2 linked regions of the Elephas maximus indicus genome follow. The protein of the gene in region 1 interacts with the protein of each later gene in a biochemical or structural test. Links are inferred from orthologs where the notes say so. Each region holds a gene or a part of one and is shown on either strand. Other genes may lie near its edges.

Region 1 (11,041 bases):
ACATTTGAGGAAATGTTGGGCAATCAGCAAACATCTGTTTGTGGCGAGGTCAAGAGTCAAGCCTCGGTCTATCTTTAAAGCCCGTGTTGCTATGTCTTCTCTATAGAAACTTCTTCACACCAAAGCTACTATCCACTAAAAGTATATATTTTTAAGCCTAACTTGATTTTCTTTAACTTTCCAAGACAAATCAACTTGAAATAGAGGACAAGAAAGGCTGAATCTAGATAACACATACACTTCATGGTCAGCTGATGAACAATGATAGCCTGATCCCTAAGGGCTAAATACCGCAAGTTACCATATAAAATATGTTTACATACTAGGTTCATAAAGACCAATACAAGCAACTTCCAATTTGTGAGTCTTTCCAGCATCACCCAACAAGTGAAGGGATGAAACTGTCTGTAATAATCTTCAGTAGTAGTGTTCTCTCACTGGGGAAATATCCTCATTGTTACAGAGATTGTTAAACTCTGCATTCTACACCAGGAGAGCTTGGTTTAAAACAAAAATTCTGAAACTTAACACCTAAAATACTTGGCAAATAAAAATCATATATTATGACCAAAATCTTTGCTGCCTTAAATGATAAAAGCCATAGAAATATTCAAGAGGGGGGTGGCAGGTAAGACAGGAGCCTTATAAAAACTTCAATATTCAAGAGGGAGGTGATACAGAAGACATGAGTTAAACATCAGAAATAAATACGTGCACTTATCTTTGGTGTTCAATTAACACTACCTTACGTAAAAATCACACTGTCACTAGGTTACAGAAACAATACCCACTTACAGTTATGAGAACACTGAGGAATCATCATTGCAATGTTGAAATATTCAAAGCAAATTCCACACCGCAGCAAATCATCTATCGTCTGAAACGTAAAAATACGTATATACCATGGTTAGAATATCTGCTACACAATTCTTTCTCCAACCCCTAAAAAATAACTTAATGATACTTCTTTGACAAATATGCAAACTCAAAAGCTAATTCCAGATAAACTGCAGAGGCTCTTGACAAATAGAGAACAACCTCATCCATATGATTCTTACACATTCACATCTCGGGTTACCCAAGCTGCTTTGAACAGATACACTTGACACAGATCCCTGTGCCCTACTGTCAGCCCTTCACAAAAGGGCTACTCTAGCTCTGCCTCGCTTCCCATGCGTTTCTACCTCTTACTCCAGGCCTTTTCTTCTACCCCATCCCCTGGCCTGCAGTCACTATTGGGGTGAAAGGGACCAGCAGCCATAGTCACCACACAGGTTAAGAACCAAATCTGAGAATATTAAAGCCAAACATTGGAAGTGATCTAGTTAAAGCCCTTAGTTCACAAATGAGGAAACTTGTATCCAATACGGGCACCGGGCAAGCCAGGGCTAAAATGACGCCTCCCTACTTGCAGTCTAGTGCTTTCTGCACTGTACTACACGGTAGAGTCAAATGAGGGAGCCCTGGGAATGGCTGAGGCTGGTGACAGCAAAGGCAGATAAAGGAGTGGACAGTACGGAAAGCCCAACAGCTGTGTGTCAACCTGGAACGCAATCCAAACAGGAAAGGATCTATTCTAGCAACTTAAATCTTATTACATTAAAATGCTAATCCACTCAGTACAATCCTGAGCAAATACTAAAAAGGAAAAGAGGGTGTTCCCCTATGTATTGATACGGAAAGATGGCCCAAATACGTAGTGAGGTAAAAGAAGTAAGCAAGGTGTAAGCAACACACGTGGTATGCTACCTTTTGTCCAAAGTATGGCGGGGTGGGGTAAGAATGCATTCCATTTTTATCTTACATATACATATAAAGAAATTCTGAAAAGATGCATAGGAAAATAACAGATAATGGACACTGGGGGTCAGAAAACTGCAGAAATGAGGGACAAGGTAGAGGGGAGGCTTCTACTTCTCATTTTATGTATTTCTTAAACCATGTTAGTATATTGCCTAAATTTGGAAAAAGTAACCAAAACGAAAACGCTGTTACTGATAGTACACATGAAGAAATTACATAACCATTAAAAAACACATTTTCAAAGAATAATTAATGCAATAGGAAAATGTTCATGTTTTGATGGAAATTAAAAAAAAATCAGAGACCAAATCAACAATAATACATAATAATGGTAATTATGTAGTTTAATCTTCATAACAATCTTACGAAGTCTATAGCATCAGTATCCCAAAACTGAGAAAGTGGCAGATACATTACAAAAAGTATTAAAATACTGGAGGGGGCTGGTTTCCCCACCTCAATATTCCGTGATTCAAATGTGAGCCCAATATGGGTTCAGTCAGCCCCAGCATTGAACACTCTCTGGTGCTGAACCCTGTATTTATTTATATAAAGAGCTGGAGTCTGGTTGGATTTATACACATATGTATACATACAGTCAGAGAAGACAGGGAAGCTGCCACTGGAGAACACTGTGGAAGTTGTGAAAACACATAAAATATGCTGAAGTCTACAAAGCCAGTAGATGTACAGGTTACAGAGCTCTTTGGCTTTCTCTATCTAATTCAATCTTCAAACAGCAAATAAAAAGGAGAAGGAAGGGCACAGAACTCATTAAATGCTAATAACAATAAACCCCAAAACCAAACACACCGTCATCCAGTCGATTCCGACTCCTGGCAACCCTTTAGGACAGAGTAGAACTGCCGCATAGGGTTTCCAAGGCTGTAAATGTTTACAGAAGCAGACTGTCACATCTTTTTCCTGCAAGCAGTGTTAAGTTTGAACTGTCAAATTTTGGTCAGCAGTTGAGTGCTTTAACCACTGCACCACCAGTGCAGGCTTCTGCTAATAGTAATAAAGATAAATTAATTCAATTCTTACTACATTTCAGATACCTTCAATCAGTCAACAAATAATTGTTAAGCACCCACTATATGCCGTGTTAACCACAATGAACAAAGCAAAAGGATCCCAACCCACATACATCAACTCGTTTAATCAATCCTATGAACTGTTTTCAGACAGCAGCGGTGGTTCAGTGGTAGAATTCTTGCCTTCCATATAGGAGACTGAGGTTCCACTCCAGCAAAGTCACCACCACCCATCTGTCAGTGGAGGCTTACATGTTTCTCTGATGCTGAACAAGTTTCAGCAAAGCTTCTAGACTAGGAAGAAAGGCAGGCCAGGAAGAAAGGCCTGGCAATCTACTTTCAAAAATCTGCCAATGAAATATGCATTACAACAGTCTAATTCCATTGTGCATGAGGTCGCCATGAGTCAGAGGCTGACTTGACAACAATTAAGAACAACATGAACTGTTCATTTTTGCCTCCAGTTTAGAGTTGAGGATACTGAAGCTCAAAGAGGTTAAGTAACTGACTCAAGGTCACAGTTAATAAGAGGCAAAGTCCAGATTTAACCCAGAACAATTGGAGCTCAAAATTTATGCTTTTCTCCACTCTATCTTGGCACCAAAGCCACCACAACTTCGAAACCACAGTTCTCCTGGATCCTTCCACTCTTTGTAGTGTAAAATGAGGATGTCTTAAGTCCCCAAGCACAAGAGATGACACTTGCTGACAGTAGGAAGAACAAGGTCTTATCATTATGCTAGCCTCCCCAAGTCCCTTCACTTGATCCTCAAAGTCAGTCTTACAAGTTAGAGGAACAGATACCATAATCCCCAGTTTACAAACGAGGAAAAGAACAAGAAAGTGATCCTCCCCACAATCACAAAGGTAAAAAAAACAAGCAACAAATGCTATCCAGCACAGCAAAGTGAACATGTTCTTGAGCAAATCTAGCAGGAATCCAGAGGTGATCAAAAACTGGTATGCCTTGCCAAAAAACAGGAAGTAGCCATAAAAATAAATGCTTATTTAAATGAAACTATCTTTTTTTTTTTTTTTAATCTATTGAAGGCTAGTGCTGAGCCTTGAGTCCTGATCTCTTTGTCTAAAAGAGAAGGAAATGAGGAATTGTTAGAGAGTTGTTAGAACATGGTAGGGAGGAATTAGGGCATATGTTAGCACAACCCAGCACGAAGCCTCTACAGAGTAATTAGAAGAAATGAAAAAGAATATAAAAGAGATTACCTGCTTCGTTACAGGATGTTATTCGATGCAGTGTCCTCACAAAATCATGTCCAATGTCACTTTGGTAAATTTTCAACTAGTGTACTGTAAGAGCTTATGGACTGCTTGGCACAAAGTAAGCCCTCTGAAAGGGTTAGCTGTCATCGTCGTTGTCACCGTTTGCAGTAACTGGTTTTTCTCGATGTCACTGTTACTGTTATGGCTGAACCGCAGAATACCCGGTTCCATAAGCCAACCTCAGCCCACCATGACACACCGAGGCTTGTCCTCGCCACTTCTCAGGGGAGGAAACTGAGGCGCAGAGGCACGCGGACAGCAAAAGGCAGAGAGGGTCGAAAACCCAGGCCCAGCTCGCCAACTCGTCCTTTCCCCTGACGCTGGTCCGGCCTTTGGCAGGCGCCTGGGCGCCCCCTCCCTCTCCGAAGCACTCACCTTCATGACTGCTAGGCCTGGAGGCCACTGGGGCTCGGCCAGGGAGTCCATGGTCGCTTCTGGGGAAGCTGGGGGTCCGCCTCCCACTGGTCTCCCGCGCTCCACGGCCACTCGAAATTCCCCGCGCTACTGAGCCACGACATCAGTCCACGACGCAGCTACGGCCTGCGCGAAGCCTGCCGGGAGCTGTAGTACGTGGGCGGGGCGCAGCCAAAGGTGCTCGCACTGCGCACGCGCCGGGGTTATGCCCTGCCTCTCACCGATGAAGGGGAAGGATGGGTGATTCAAAGGCTTGGAGACCGTTTTGTACCAGATCTTTGACAAATAGATGGCTATCGAATGTTAGGAAAAGGCATTCAGGAATCAAAATAAGCCAAATCCAAGCCTTGCCAAATCTTTCGAGGTCAGGCTTATCCCTCCTCCTTCGGGTCGCCCTCCCTGATTGCTGTATTGATCTGAGCCTGCTCTGAACAGGGGTTATCATATCCATTATTTCACGCCACTCCCTATCACAACACCGGGAGGTAGGTATTATCATTGTCAGTTTACACAAGAAGAAGATGCAGTCCAAAAAAGTGAAGTTTCCTTAAGTCAAGCAGTGGTATCGACCAAACTCCAAATCTAGCCTCTGGGTTTTAAATGTGAAGCTCTTTCTTTTACCTAAACGAAAATGTTCGTTTAAAAGTTAGTCCCGCTCTTTAGAGATAATCACTGTTAACTTTGGACTATGTTGTTGCTAGTTGCCATCAAGTTGGTCGACTCGTGGGGCCCCTTATGTATAACAGAAAGAAACTTTGCCAGGTTCCGTGCCATCTTCATGATCATTGGTGACAACGGCATACAGACTTCCGTGTATTTCCTATGCAAATATAAACATAGATACATTTTCCCCACAAATGTTATATTAAATGCATAACTCAGACAACTTGTTTTTCTTGTGTGCATTTGTTTCAGGGCTTTGACCTGTTCCTTCCAGTTGGAACCCTGGCTGAGAACGTGCATTTTCTAAGAAGTTCCCTGCTGGGAATTTGCATTTCCACCCCAGATATACTGAGTCAGAATCTACATTTTAACAAGACCCCAGGTGATTCTTATGTATAACTGCCTGGGAATTTGTTGGAATCACCTGGGGATCTTGTTAAAATGTAGATTCTGATTCAGTATATCTGGGGTGGAAATGCAAATTCTCAGCAGGGGTTTCAAACTGGTAGGAACTGGTACAAAGCCCTGGTTTGTTTGCTTAACCATACATCTTGAGATCTCTCCATGCTAGTACATATAGTTTACCTTATTCTTTTTAATAGCTACATAATCCATAAAATAGATGTACCAAAATTTATTCATCTACTCCCATATTGAGGTGTGATATGGATTGAATGTTGAATACTTAATCTCTGTACCTGTAAGTGTGACCTTGTTTGGAAACAGGAAGTTTTCTTTTAGAAGAAGAACGTGGCATCAGGATTGGTGGAAGACTCATTAACAACCTGCGGTATGCAAATAACACAAGCCTGCTTGCTGAAAGTAAAAAGCACTTGAAGCACTTACTGATGAAGATCAAAGACTACAAACTTCAGTATCAATTACACCTTAACATAAGAAAACAAAAATCATCACAGCTGGACCAATAAGCAACATGATGATAAATGGAGAAAGGATTGAAGTTGTCAAGGATTTCATTTACTCACATCCACAATCAATGCCCGTGGAAGCAGCAGTCAAGAAATCAAATGATGTATTGCATTGGGCAAATATGCTTCAAAAGACCTCTTTAAAGTGTTGAAAAGCAAAGATGTCACTCTGAGGACTAAGGTATGCCTGACCCAAGCCATGATGTTTTCAATCACCTCTCATGCATGCAAAAGCTGGACAATTAATAAGGAAGACCAAAGAAGAATTGGTGCCTTTGAATTATGGTGTTGGCAAAGAATATTGAACATACCATGGACTGCCAGAAGAATGAATAAGTCTGGCTTAGAAGAAGTGTTCTTTGGAAGTTAGGATGGCGAGACTTCATCTCATGTACTTTGGACAAGTTATCAGGAGGGATCAGTCCTTGGAGAAGGACATCATGCTTGGTAAGTAGACGATCAATGAAAAAGAGTAAGACCCTCAACGAAATGCACTAACAGAGTGTTTGCAACAATGGGCTCAAACATAGCAACAATTGTGAGGATGGAGGACTAGGCAAAGTTTTGTACTGTTGTACATAGGGTCGCTATGAGTTCGAACTAACTTGAGGGCACCTAACAATGACAACAACTTTTATTATGTTAATGAAGTCATACCAGCGTATGGTGAGTCATAAACCTAATCACTTCTGAGTTACAAAAAGAGCAAATATGTACATACAGACAGGAACACAGGGGGAAGAGGAAGACAGACTAAGGGGACAGATGCGTCTATAAGCCCGGGAGCTCCAGGGATTGCTGGCAGCTTCTAGAAGCTGAAAATAAACAAGGAAGGGCCTCGAGCCACACTTTGAATTCTGACTTCTACACCCCTGAACTGTGAGAAAGTAAATTTCTGTTCTTTAAAGCCACCCACTTGTGGTACTTCTGGTACAGCAGCACTAGGTAACTAAGACAAGGACGTTGAGATTGTTTCCAGTTTCTCACTATTACAAAGAGCTGCAGTGAACGCATTCACCTGTATAAACCTTGGCACACTTTTTCCAAGGTATCTGGGGGGTGATGTCCTAGAAATGGAACTACTCAGCCAATTTGTTGCTCTTTTAAAACTGTGATAGCTAGCAGTAAATAGTTCTCCAAAAAATTTCATACCAATACATTTACACTTTCACTGATAATATGAGAGGGCCTGCTGCCCACATGAGAAACACTGACCAGCTCAGTTTCCAGCCTGTCTGCTCAACTCAGCATTTATTTACTGACTTATGGGGACCTCTGTTGCACCATGTCTCACGGACAGCAAGTAAGAACAGATATTTGGCTAAGGGCAGAGCCCTGCAGCTTGTCACTGTCACCCTGTGCTTACCATGGGCCAGGCACTTGAGCTTTGTCTTAGGCTGGGCTCTCTAGAGGAGCAAAACCAGTAAAGCATGTAATTATATACATAGAGAGAGAGATTTATATCAAGGAAACAGCTCACGTGTTTAAAGAGGCTGGAGCACGCCAAGTCCATAGGTCAGAATAGAGGCTTCCCCTGATTCACATAGCTGCAGGGGCTGTCGAACTCAAGATCACCAGGTTGGAGAGCAGGGCTCTTGCTCACAGGCTGTGAAGGTCAACAAATCCCAAGATCAGCAGGCAATACTGCAAGCCTTCCCCTGATTCACATAGCTACAGGGGCTGGTGAACCCAAGATCAGCAGGTCAGAGAGCAGGACTATAGCTCACAGGCTGTGACGATCAACGAATCCCAAGATCAGCAGGTAAGCTGCTAGCTCAAGTCTGAGAAACCGGAGGTCAGATGAACAAGAGGCAGCTGTAGGATCCAGAAAGGGCAAAAGTTCGAACAAACATCCACTTATATTTGGATGCAGGCTACATATCCAAGGAAACTCCCTTTCAACTGATTGACTACTCACAGCAGATCCCATCATGGGTGTATTCACGTACGAACACTGAGAATCATGGCTTAGCCAAGTTGACACACAATCTTAACCATCACAAGCTTCCCTGTGAAGTAGGCAGAGGTAAAGTTGTTATAGTCATTCTACAGAAAAGGACACTGGAGTTCAGAGAAGTTAAGCCTTGGCTTCACTCCTTTGGGATCTTGTTGAAAGGAATCTCTGGCCCCTGATTTTTCCCAGCCTGTCTGCAAATACTCATTGGGTAATAGCAATAGTATACAGCATTTGCACAAAGGACTTCAACATCCATTACAATAGTAGCTGACATTTACTAGGTACTTGTATTCAAAGCAGAGTCCCTGGGTGGTACAAATGGTTAAGAATGACCTGGTAACCTACATTAACCATTAAAAACCCTATGGAGCACAGTTCTAATCTGACACACACACCCGTCAGCGTCCAGTCGATTCTGACTCATAGTGACCCTATAGGACAGAGGAGAGCTGCTGGCCCCATAGGGTTTCCAAGAAGCAGCAGATGGATTCAACTGCTGACCTTTTGGTTAGCAGCTATAGCTCTTAACCACCGAGCCACCGGGGCTCCCTGATACATATGGGGTCACCATAAGTTGGTATTGACTTGCTGATAACTGGTTTTCTGATTTGTTTTGTATGAAAAGCTCTGTTCTCAGTGCTTTTACACGTATTGATTTAAGACACACCCCAATCAAATGAGGTAAGCAGGTAACTTGCCCAGGGCACCTTGCTGGTGAGTGGAAGAGGAGGTATTTTAACTTGGACAGTGTAGTTTAAGAGTTCATATTAACCACTACAGAATATTCTCAGGATTCCATCACGAGAATTATTCACATTTTGTAGACATGGGAACCAAATCTCAGAAAGCAAAGGAACTCATTCAAGATCACACAGCTTGAGAGGGGGGCCAAGATGGCTGACTAGGTAGACGCTACCTCGGATCCATCTTGCAACAAACACTCAGAAAAAACAAGTGAATCGATCACATACATGACAATCTACGAACCATGACCAGCAAACACAGATTTAAAGAGTTGACCTGAGTGACAGAGATGGAGAATGAACAACTACAGGGAAGCAGAGATTGTTTTCGGAGCCTGGAGCCAGCGTCCCAGTCAGGCGGCTTCATTAACATTGGAATTTCCTGAGCCAGAGGGAGAACTGCTCCGCGGGTTTTTTTTTTCCCCCTTTTTTCTTTTTTTGGTCTTTTCCTAACCCATTCTTCCGGCCTGAGAGAAGCAACCACAAAAAACACAGGGACCAAAAATCCTTCCCTAATTGGACTAAAAACACAGAACCAGCTCCAGCCAAGCATATGTGATCCACCCTCTCCGGCTTTCAACCCTATAGGGAACAAGGTGGCTATTATAATGCAAAGGCGTTTCTGATAGGGATCTGACTGCATTTTTTTTTTAGCAGATTTACTGGAAAGACAAGTTTCCCAGGTCTGATATCTCTGCGTATTCAACAGAGCCCTCACTGACCCACAACAGGGAACTGAAGCTGAAGCTCCCCCTAGACCACCTAGCCTCCTGCCTTAGGGGTCTAAGGAGGGTGACACCTACCAATCTGTAGAGGTACTTGCATTGGGGACCTAACGTACAGCTGCAGAGCCCACCCACCAAGGTGCTTTAGGAATAGAGACACACCTACCTCACTGACACTTGGGGGAAGCCTGTCAGCATCCTGCCCCCCCAGAGTGTGAACCCCAGCTTCTACTAGAATCTGGTGCACACAACTATCACAACTACTTCTCAAGGTGGGTAGGTGATAGGGTGCATCACACACTTGATGCCCCAAAATCAGGTTCTACTCAAGAATAGTGAATGGACTCAGGCATATATATCTGGTAACAGCCCAAACCAGCTGGTAATAGGTCATAAGTAAGTCAAGGGCTACAACAATCAAGACGGCACAATCTAGTAGCCCATCCACATATATTGAAAGAAAACAAAGCAAGATAAGACTCAGTGAGCAAATATAGAATAAATCACTACAATATCTTAGTGATGGCTCAGAGACAGCAGTCGATATCAAAACACATAAAGAAGCAGACCATGACTGCTTCTACAACCCCCCAAACAAAAGAATCAAAATCTTTCCCAAATGAAGATACAATCCTGGAATTATCAGATACAGAATATAAAAAACTAATTTACAGAATGCTTCAAGACATCAGGGATGACCTCAGAAATGAAATAAGGCAATCTGCAGAAAAAGCCAAGGAACATACTGATAAAACAGTTGAAGAACTCAAAAAGATTATTCAAGAACATAGTGGAAAGATTAATAAGTTGCAAGAATCTGTAGAGAGACAGCATTCAGAAATCCAAAAGATTAACAATAAAATTACAGAATTAGACAACGCAATAGGAAGTCAGAGGAGCAGACTCGAACAATTAGAATGCAGAGTGGGAAATCTGGAGGACCAGGGAATTAACACCAACATAGCTGAAAAAAAATCAGATAAAAGAATTAAAAAAAATGAAGAAACCCTAAGAATCATGTGGGACTCTATCAAGAAGGATAACTTGCGTGTGATTGGAGTCCCAGAACAGGGAGGGAGGACAGAAAACACAGAGAAAATAGTTGAAGATCTACTGACAGAAAACTTCCCTGACATCATGAAAGACGAAAGGATATCTATCCAAGATGCTCATCGAACTCCATTTAAGATTGATCCAAAAAGAAAAACACCAAGACATATTATCATCAAACTTGCCAAAACCAAAGATAAAGAGAAAATTTTAAAAGCAGCCAGGGATAAAAGAAAGGTCTCCTACAAGGGAGAATCAATAAGAATAAGTTCAGACTACTTAGCAGAAACCATGCAGGTAAGAAGGCAATGGAATGACATATACAGAGCACTGAAGGAGAAAATCTGCCAGCCAAGGATCATATATCTAGCAAAACTCTCTCTGAAATATGAAGGCGAAATTAAGATATTTACAGATAAACACAAGCTTAGAGAATTTGCAA
Region 2 (10,579 bases), on another chromosome or scaffold:
TAAGATTTAAGTTCTTTCAATTTCAGGTTTCAAATTCTGTCCCCTTCCTCTCACCCTCCCCCCAAAAAACTCAGCTGCCATTGAGTCAACTCTAACTCATGGGGATCCCACCTACGTGTGTTGGAGTAGAACTGTGTTCTGTAGGGTTTTCAATGGCTGATTTTTCAACAAAAGATCACCAGGCCTTTCTTCCAAGACTCAAGCCTTTAATTTTTGGTTAACAGCCAAGTGCATTAACCTTTTATACCAATCAGAGACTCCCTTATCTTCCAGGAGGATTATATTTGGATTCCATTCATTTCTGCAGGCAGCCACTGCTGATATAATTTATCCTGCTTCATCTTTGGACATCAGGCCCCTGCTTCTGGTTGCTAGAACCATGATCTGGTAAGGGCCTCCTACCTTCACTGACTCACTAGGGAGTCTCACAGGATTCTGGAAGGCTGTCCTCAGGCCCTTTCACAAAACCTTCTCCCTCACCTTCATTTCTTTATTCCTCTGGCATGTTTCTGGTCTCTGAGGCTGTGCAGATATGCAGAATACTGAAGCTACTGTAGGGAAATGAGCTACAGCTTCCTTTGCTTATGGGGTCTCTGGAAACTTTCCTGCCTTTGTGGAGCTTGGCCCAAAGTGATAGCATTCCTGATTCTTTCCCTAAGACCCTCCAAGCTTTCATTCCTGATCCTGAAAATTCTCTGGCTCTGTTGAACTTTCTCCCCTTTTGAGTGAAAGAAACAAACAAACAAGCTCTTATATTATCATTCATTTTCCTGGAATCTATTATGATGTAAACTTGGGAATTTTTTGTATGGAAGCCAGACTTTTAGAACTCCAGAGTCTTTGCCTAAGTTTTTTTTTTTTCTTTTTTTTTTTACCAAAGGCTTCAAAATTCCATTTTGTAAACCAACTGTAAAAGGACATTTTTTGAGACAATTGTGAAAATTTGATAATGAACTAGTTATTAGAATGCATCAAGGATTGATTTATTATTAATTATATTGGGTAGGGTAATGGCCTTATGGTTATATACAGTTACACTTGTGAAAGCTGGAGCCTATGTAAGGCAGAAACCTGTCAGAGAAGGAAAACTCAAACATTTTCCACTAAAACGAGCGATAGCAAAGTGTTATTAACACTACATCCTGTCAAAGGTAGAAAACTCACAAGACCCAGAAAAACAAGGCAGTCCTGTTGCATTCTGGCTCTCACAGGTTTCACTGTATAAAAGTACCTGTATTTTTTAGAGAAGTCAGTAAAGGACATTATAGGCAGTGTGGGGCGGGAAGTGACAAAAGATATGAGGCTGGAATAAGAGGGAAGGAACAGATCTTAAATAGCCACACATGCCATTCTTTGATTTCATGCTGATGGCATTAGACTGATATAATTAATTTGGACGACCAGTAGCCAAAACCAAATCTGTTTCCACTGAGTCAATTTTGACTCAGTGCGACACTATAGGACAGAGAACTGCCCCATAGGGCTTCCAAGGAGCAGGTGGTGGATTCGAACTGCCAACCTTTTGGTTAGCAGCCTAGCTCTTAACCACTGTGCAACTAGGGCTCCTCTATATGTACAGGTGTTAGGATTCCAACACATATTTTTTTTGGGGGGGGGAACAATAATTAAAGCCATTATCATCTCTTACCTGAATACAATGGTTTCTAATTATCAACTGAGGGTCCCTTTGCTTCTGTTCTTGTTTCCTGTAATTCATTAACCCCAGAACCGCCAGCGTGATTTTTTTAAAAGACTAAATCAGCTTGTCATTCTCCCGCTTCAAATATTAAATGGTTTGCCATGGCATTTAAAATAGAATACATCTTTGCTCTAGACCATGAATTCCTATGTAATCTGGCCTATACCTTCCCCATCACCCTCTTTTTATGCCACTCTCCTCCTCACAACCACACAAGCCACCCTACTACAGTTTTGTTTCTTTTCAGTTACAAATGTTTAGTTCATTTTCCAGAAAACATCTAGTGTGATATTTTCGAATTTGTAACTGTTGTAACATTTCAATCCAACTAGTACAAACTGCACTTAACCTCATTTTTTTTTTTAAAAAAGAAAGGACAAAGAATAATGAGACAGAACCCCCACAGTGCTATGTTCTTCCTCCCCTACAGTGTTGTATTGCAAAATTGTTTCCTTTGCTGAGCTCCCCCACTCAGCTTTGCATCTGAGTGCTGCTTTTCCTTGGAGATTCTATGTAAAACCAATTGCACCTGAATCATACCATCAGGAATGTTGCTGATGTAAGTTGTAGGAACTCCCTACTTGCAAACCCCTTTAAAAAGTAACCTGCCTGCCTGCCTTTGGGGAGCAGGTCGGCAGCATTAGCTCCAACTGACTCCATTTTCCTTGTACAAGGAAATACAGGTGACTTTCTTATTCTCCCACCTCCATCTCTCGTTTATTGGCCAATACGAGTCACGCCGAGTTAAGAACCTGGGGTTTCCACCCAGTAACAATCATGAAGTAAAAAACTGTGTCCAACCTGAACTGGTGGATCTGAGATGTAAGATAGTAACAATAGCGAGAAAAATGTTGACCTTAAACAGCAAAATTTTTACTTCATTCGAGAGGCAATCTTCAGCCATGGGGGTGTCATTATTCATAGATCTTAGGTCTAGAAAGAGCTAGGATCGCCTATATTCTCACATAATTTTATCTTTCTGTCTAATGAGCATGGATTCATTATTTTACAGGCAAAACATTATCGATCTGAGCATTTTCTGGCATATTTTCAAAGAATTTATGCAGAATTTGGCGCACCAAAAATGGAACTGCATTCCACTTGCCACTTAATACTTCAAGAAGAAAGGAAAATAACTAAGATACTTGAAATGCTACTATCTTCGTCTTCCTCATCGTCTGCCTTCTGTTTGGTGAGATAAATCAATAAATTGCTGCAAAACCTATCTCTCACTGCACTGCTGGCTCATGTTTACCAGCTGCCCTCTAGCTGATTGCGACTCATGACAGCCCACGTGTGTCAGAATAGAACAGTGCTCCATAAAGTTTTCAACACCTGATTTTTCAGAAGTTGATTGCTGGGACTTTCTAGGTGCCTGGGGATGGGCTTGAATTCCAACCTTTTGGTTAACAGCCTAGCATGGTTAACAGTTTGCACCACTCAGGGACTCTGGCTCAAGTTTACGGATCATCATAGTTTATTTAGGAGCCCTGGTGGCAAAGTGGTTAAGCACTCAGCCGCTACCCAAAAAGTTTGTGGTTCAAATCCACCAGCTGCTGCGAGGAAGAAAGATGTGACAGTCTGCTTCCGTAAAGATTTACAGCCTTGGAAACCTCAATGGGCAGTCCTACTCTGTCCTACGGGTTGATAATGCAATGGGTATAGTTTATTTAGGAAAATGAACAAATGTCTCTAGAAAAACTGCTTTACTGACTGCCTCTCTTACTCTCTTAATGGGACTGTAAAACGGAGCATTCTTTGAAGGGCAATTGTCAATATTTATCACATTTACAAATACATTTGCTCTTTGATCCCAGCAATTGTTTTCTGACAATCTGACAACTGCAATGTGCAAGTAGGTGTGGCTCAGAGCCATTACCAGCTTCATCCAATTCTGGTGCAGCTGAACCAAAAAGGCCTCTCTAATTGGTAGCAGCCTCTCTTTGGCTCCCAAGGCCGCAGAGCCGGCTGGTACCCGTCCTGCATGCCCTGGGCTACAGCCGCCTCACTGGCCCACCTACCAAAGGCTGAGTTCCCCTCAGACTCCTGCAATCTGGCCATGGAGTGTCTTGGACTGCCCCTAACAGTTCGTGGAGGAAAACAAGCTCCTTCCCTGGGGCAGCTACACGTGCCTCAGGGAAAACTTTGACCCAACCATTTCCAGCAATGGCTTTTGAGTTATCAATGCCCACAGAAACAGCAGTCAAGAAATCAAAAGACACACTGCACTGGACAATTCTGCTGCAAAAGACTTCTTTAAAGTATCATAAAGATATTACTTTGATGATTAAGATGCAGCTGACCCAAGCAGTGAAGCCGTGGTCTTTTCAACAGCCTCATATGCATGCAAAAGCTGGACAATTAAAAAGGAAGATCAGAGGAGAATTGGCACATTTGAATTGCGGTGTTGGCGAAGAATATTTAAAATACCTGGACTCCCAGAAGAACGAACAATTCAGCCTTGGAGGAAGTATAGCCAGGTGCTGCTTAGAAGTTAGGATGGCGAGACTCCATCTTGCTTACTTTGGACATGTCATCAGGAAAGACCAATCACTAGAAAAAGACACCATGTTTGGTAAAGAGTCATCAGGAGCCAGAGAAACCCTGCGTGAGATGCATGGGTGGATTATGCAATATGCAAGGTAAACACAGTCCTTACCTTGCTTACCAGATCATCTGTAGTGAACAATTCCACATTTTTTCACCACATCAAAAATTTTGCTTCCAGGTATGGCTGGCATCTGTCTCCCTCCCAGCCCCACAGCACCTCCCTACAGAATCAAAGCCTCTTTTCAAATTTACAACCCCTGACAGTAAGCAGGGTAAGCACAGGTTTACTTCTACCTACTTACTAATACGTAGTGCAGTTTCACACGGGTTTCACTTTGATGTGGCATGGTGAAATCCGTGTTAAATTGTTCACTAGAGATTAGTAAGCACAAGGAAGTCCGCACTTACTTTGTTTACTAGGTAATCCACCCCTGGTGAAATGGATTGACATGCTGGTTGCAACAATGCGTTCAAATTCTCCAAGGATTGTGAGGTTGGAGCAGGACCTGTTTCCTTCTATTATACATAAGGTTGCCTGAATCAGAACGATCAGACAGCAACTAAAAATAACAGTGCTGTGCTTTCCTGCATTAAGAAATGATAAATTTAATTAAAAACAACAACAAACACAACCAAAGTGGGAGAGGTGCTCTATAACTCTAAGTTCCAATTAAGATTTTCTGAAAACCGTCCAACTCATAAAACCAAAAACCAAACCCATTGCCATCGAGTCGATTCCGACTCTTAGCGATCCTAAGGACAAAGAACTGCCCCGTAGGGTTTCCGGGAAGCGGCTGGTGGATTCCAACTTATTCAATGGGAGACCCTATTCCATGTCCCATCAGAGGAGGAGAATATTGGAGGCAGGATCAGGGAGGGACTGAAGAATGAGGCTGAGGCTTAAGGCTGGGGGGGAAAGAGGAATGAAGAGACACTGCCCTGCGTTTGACGCAGAAAATCAAACAGAAAACCTAGTATCACGGGCACCGCAATCGGGCCCCGGGGACCGCGTGGCTTTCCCGCCCGCCCGCATTGGGGGCGGGGAAGGACCCGGATGGTCCCACCCCTGCAGCCCGGGCCCCCACCTTCGGTACATCGGAGCGCGGGGCGGAGTCGCCTTCCCCTCCGTGTTCTGATTGGCTTGTCTCCGTAGGCTCTTCTTCGCGATTGGACGCGCTCAGCGCCAGTCACACAGGGTCGCCGGTCTCTCGGATTGTTGGTAGCAGGGACAGCGTCGACGCCTGACTGGATTCGCGGCGTTTTATCGTCTAGTGGGGCGCTCTTCCTCGGGCGCTTGGAACCTGTCTCCGGCTTCCCGGCCGCGGGGCCTGGAAGGAGGCGTCCCCAGGCGACTGGAGAACGTTCCGGGGGCGCTCAGGAGCTCCCCTCGCCGCCCCGCGCAGCGCCATGTCCTGGATGTTCAGGAGGTACAGCGGCCGGAGGGGTGGGGCGCTGGGGTTAACCGAGCGGCGGCGTCCCCAGATGAACCTGACCTTCCCCGCGCCCCTGCCGCGCTTCCTCTGCTGTTTGCGCCGCTCGTATTTGTGGTGCCCGTCGCTCCTGGGGCCGCGGAAGAAATAAAGGCTGCAGATGGGTGGCCCCCCAGGCGAGTCTTAGGCCAGGGCCTTGGGAGGTCTCTGTCACGGGCTGTGGGGGCCTGGGGCTCCGTAGCCAGGATTCCGGCCGTGCTTTATTCCCCTAGCCGTCCCCTAGGGAGCCACTGTGCGCTGGCGTTGTGCTCGGGATGGAGGGCCGAGTGGCAGAGTCCTTGCCCCCGAGGGGCTTTGATCGGTTTATGAGCGTGCACAGACGTGCAGACACAGGCTTCCAGGGGAGCCAGAGAGGTCTGCGTGATGTGCGAGGCAAACGCAGGGAAAGGAGCGACTGCCCGAAAACCCAGTGCCGTCGAGTCGATTCCGACTCACAGCGACCCTACAGGACAGAGTAGAATTGCCCCATAGAGTTTCCAAGGAGCGCCTGGCGGATCCGAACTGTGGACCCTTCGGTTAGCAGCCGTAGCACTTAAACCACTACACCAGCAGGGTTTTAGGAGAGGGGAAACTTCCTGAAGGCCCCCCGCCCACCACACTCGCCCTCACTTTCATTGTCTGAATCGCTCTTCATGCCAATTCTGCATCATTTTATCCACGAGGGGCCTGGGGTGGTCCTGGAACCAGCGGGGAGAGGGCGGGGCTTGAGGTCAGCTCCCCGTGATGGCAGGGTTTGACTACCTGAGTGAGATAAGGATTCTTTGCGGAGGAAACGAAAGCAGTGAATGCTGCATAAGCTATCCGTGTCTACTGTAATAATCCAGGGATGGGCTGGATTATCTGTAAATATAGAAATTGCTGAGCCGTTTTGGCAAGTCTCTTCTAGCTCAATCCACATTGAAATATTGGCCTATAAGTGTAGTTACAGACATCACACATATACCATCTCATATAGATTGGTTATCCTTAGGCTAATCAAGAAATTTGTGAACACTGAACTCTGGTGGCATAATGCTTAAGAGCTACAGCTGCTAACCAAAAGGTCATCAGTTCGAATCCACCAGGCGCTCCTTGGAAACCCTATGAGGCAATTCTACTCTGTCCTTTAGGGTCGAAGTCAACTGGACGGCAATGGGGTTAGTGTTTTTTTTTTTTCCCATTCTGAATACCTTGGGTGTGGAGGAGGTTATGTTCAACAGGTAAGGTTCCTGGAAACCTCTCCTGCCCCAATCTCTGTTTTAACCAGGGTAACTCTTAGTGTATATTCAATGGTTCACACATTTGATTTCGTTTGCTGTGTGAGTAAAGTGTGAGAAAACTGGCCTATAGATAACTGGTATGGTCTTTGAGAAATACCTGGTTAAATATTGTAGTGTTTTTCGGTGACGACTTTTTTTTTTTTTTTTAAATAGAGATCCTGTTTGGAAGTACTTGCAGACTGTCCAGTATGGAGTCCATGGAAATTTTTCACGCCTTTCATACCCTACTTTCTTTCCCCGTTTTGAATTCCAAGATATTATCCCTCCAGACGACTTCCTAACTAGTGATGAAGAGCTAGATTCTGTTTTATTTGGAACTTTGAGAGGTCATGTTGTTGGACTACGCTATTATACAGGAGTAGTGAGTATAAAGTAGATATTAAGTTAAATTGTGACATATTTATGGTGTTAACCTAGAAAATAAGAGAATCTAAAAGGGGATATGTGCAGTTAATATTTATTTTTACTCTAAGTAATTGAATATATCCAGGCAAGAGATAATAGATAACTGAACTACTTTGACTTAATATTCTCTTATGCTTACAGTATACAAAGCACTTTGCCTGCACTGTTTCATTTGATCCCAGCAATAACTCTGAGGCAGATGGGACATCTGTATCCCCTTTTTATAATGAAGGAACTGAAGCTCAGAAAGGGGCTAAACATTTTGCCCAAAACACACGGATTACTAAATGGTGTATTTGGGAATGACTTCCCAGTCCATTGCCTTCTCCTCTTCTGGCCCTTAGTGCATTTCTGCATTTTAATTTTGGAAGATCAGCTCCTGCTGTGTAAGCGAATTGTCTATTGTTAAGAGCTTTTTGTCTTTTTTCTTTTCCTGTAGTGAAGACTGTCCCTGTCTCCCATTTTTTCTTTTCTTTTGTGCCTGTCTTTTTGTAGCTCTCTATCCTCTGCATTTTGTCTGTGTTGCGCGCGCGAGCGCGCGTGTGTGTCCGAAAGAGAATGTAACTTTCTCTGGTCGGTAATTTGTTATGGTGGTCTAGTATGCCTCTGTGTTACGTAATTTTGTTTATTATGAAAAATTTAAAACATACATAAAAGTAGACTATAAACTCCTGTATAACCATGATCTATATTCAACTGTTCACAAGATCTTTCCATATCTGCTTCGTGTATCCCTTTTTCCTTTTCTTTGTTCTTTTGTACTTTAAAGGAAATCCCAAACATATCAACATTTTACACCTGTATAATTCAGTGTGTATCTTTTTAAAACTACATTTTTGTGTCATTTGTATAGTGAAAGTTAATAATTTCTTCTTACATGTAAGAAGTAATTCATAATCAGATTTTCTTGTCTTTTTATAGTTGGTTTTTTCAAATCAGCATCAAAAGAAGGTTCATACATTACCTTTGGTTATTATACCTCGTAACCCTCCTGCCGTTTTTTTTCATGTCATTGACTTATTGTAGAAACCAGCTGTGTTATTCTGTAGAATGTTCTAGATTTGTTGCTTCTTCCACTGCCCCATGTTTTTCTTAGGTTGAAGCTTCTCAGATCGTTTTTTGGTTGTCTGAATCATGTTCTGCAGGAGATTTCCTTGCGTAGAAATTTTATGTTCTGGATTTGTCTATGCTTCTGTTTTCCCAATTTTTTTTTTATATTGAAAGTTTTTTTCAAGTCATTCTGTAGTTGTCTGAAAGATATTTACTAGGAAATTCTATGGAAAGGAACAATGTTTCCTCAGTTTTTACGTGTTCATAGTTGAGGAGTTTATACTTGAAGGGCAGTTTTGCTGAATATGTAATCCTTGGCCCATGTTTTCTTCCTATGTTACCTTAACGTTGCATAAAATATTACTGGTGAGAATCTTGATGCCAGTAGGGTTTTATCTCCCATATAAGTGTATTGGAATTTTTTTGCCTGGATGACCAAAGAATGTTTTTCCTTATCTTGAAAGTCCAATTGTTTTGTTATGGTATGTCTTACTTAGTATTGACTCTTCTGTAAGTTCAAATTTCCTTTTATTTCAGAAAATTTTCTGTAGCTTTAAATGTTTGTTTTGTTTCATAGCTTTAGTTTTTCTTCACTAATCTCTCTGTATGTTAGACTTTCTCAGCCCATGTCTATTATTTCCTTTGAAATCCTTTTTATTGCTTTCCTAATTTTCGTCATTTATTTCCCTTGCCATGTTTTTCACAAGTTCTGGTCACTCTTGTGTTATTTCTGCTTTTGTCTTCAATCCAGAAATGGTTTTTCTTTTTTCTAATTATTTCCTGAATTCTATTGGTTCTTATTTTATATCCATCTCTTGCCTAACCATGTAATTTCTATGCTTTTCTATTTCTGATTTGTTCTATTTTTTTTTAACTTATGTTGTTTTCTAAATTACTTTAAACAATGGTAAAATATTAGGTTATGGTTTTCTGCTGTGTTATTACTCTGAGCACAATCACTATTTGATATCAGAACAATCTTTATGACATTGGTAATCTAATAAAAATGTGGTAGGCCGATTAAAAGTCATCAGCATTTAATTTCTTCATTTTTTAAAAAAGGTGTGTTGTTTATTTTATATGTAATGCTGATGAAAAGTCATTAGCATTTAATTTCTTTATTTTTACAAAGGTGTATTATTTATTTTATATGTAATACATGTTCATTATTTTAAAAAATGGCTAAAAGAAAAAAAGAATTAAATCACCCTAACACCTACCATTCAGAACCATACCTTATTCACATTGATGTTTCTTCCACAATTTTCTCTGTGTGCATGTAAATTGCAATCATATTGTATATTAATAAAAATGAGGTCATATTATCCTACTATTGTGATTATCTCTTTCTGTTAGGTCAAATACAAACAGCTTTGCAAGTGGGTCTTCTAGGGAACCACCAGACTGGTCAAATAATGATAATTCTTTGGGAATGAGACTTTCTTTTTCGTTGCAGAAAGTGTATAAGACACATTTGCCAATTCAACACTTTTAACGTGTATAATTCAATACATTGATCATATTCATGATATTGTGTGACCATTTACCCCTGTCTTTTTCCAAATTACTCTGTCACCATTAATGGAAACTCAGTGCCTGAGAGTGAGACATTGAAAGAACTTTATCCATTCTGCTTCCTCTAGTCCCTGTCAGGCTACGTCAGGAATGCCAGTAGGCTTTTATTCTTAAAGGCTACCGTGTAGTTGGAGAGCAGGGGATGGGACTATGGCACTGATAACTCAGTTATTTTTCTTGAACTAATGCTATTCAGGTTGTCATAAGCCTTTTGCTAGTTTCCAGAGTTGCTTTTATGGAAGAGAAAGTTCTTGGAGGTCCTTACTTTGCCATCTTCAATGATAACACTCTTGGGCAACTTTCAGTCACGTGAAATCAGAGAATGGCATTAATTGAAGGCAGGATATATTTTTCTTATTCCAGTTCTTGTCTGCCTTATAATTAACACCTTTATTTTTCACTTTTAGATTTTGGAAAACTGAGGCTGAGGAACCAGGCTGCCTGGGTTCAGATCTCAGCTCTGCTCATAACTTTATGACCATGAACAAGTTACTTAACTTTTCTATGCTTTAATTTCTTCATCTGTAAGATGGGGATAATGATAGTAACTG

Evidence for each region.
Region 2: the proteins of RAD18 (region 1) and HLTF form a complex in vitro, tested with the Homo sapiens proteins (2 studies listed by BioGRID). The link is inferred for Elephas maximus indicus from reciprocal best matches to the Homo sapiens genes RAD18 and HLTF.

The regions. Positions count from the first base shown.
Region 1 is NC_064838.1:33,900,553-33,911,593, forward strand, and holds the start of RAD18 (E3 ubiquitin-protein ligase RAD18), read right to left. Parts: upstream 4,644-11,041; 5' UTR 4,545-4,643; coding exon 4,494-4,544; intron 878-4,493; coding exon 796-877; intron 1-795. UniProt on the Homo sapiens protein: E3 ubiquitin-protein ligase involved in postreplication repair of UV-damaged DNA. Postreplication repair functions in gap-filling of a daughter strand on replication of damaged DNA.
Region 2 is NC_064841.1:10,843,047-10,853,625, forward strand, and holds the start of HLTF (helicase-like transcription factor), read left to right. Parts: upstream 1-5,445; 5' UTR 5,446-5,656; coding exon 5,657-5,676; intron 5,677-7,151; coding exon 7,152-7,359; intron 7,360-7,377; exon of another isoform or gene 7,378-7,789; intron 7,790-10,579. UniProt on the Homo sapiens protein: Has both helicase and E3 ubiquitin ligase activities. Possesses intrinsic ATP-dependent nucleosome-remodeling activity; This activity may be required for transcriptional activation or repression of specific target promoters.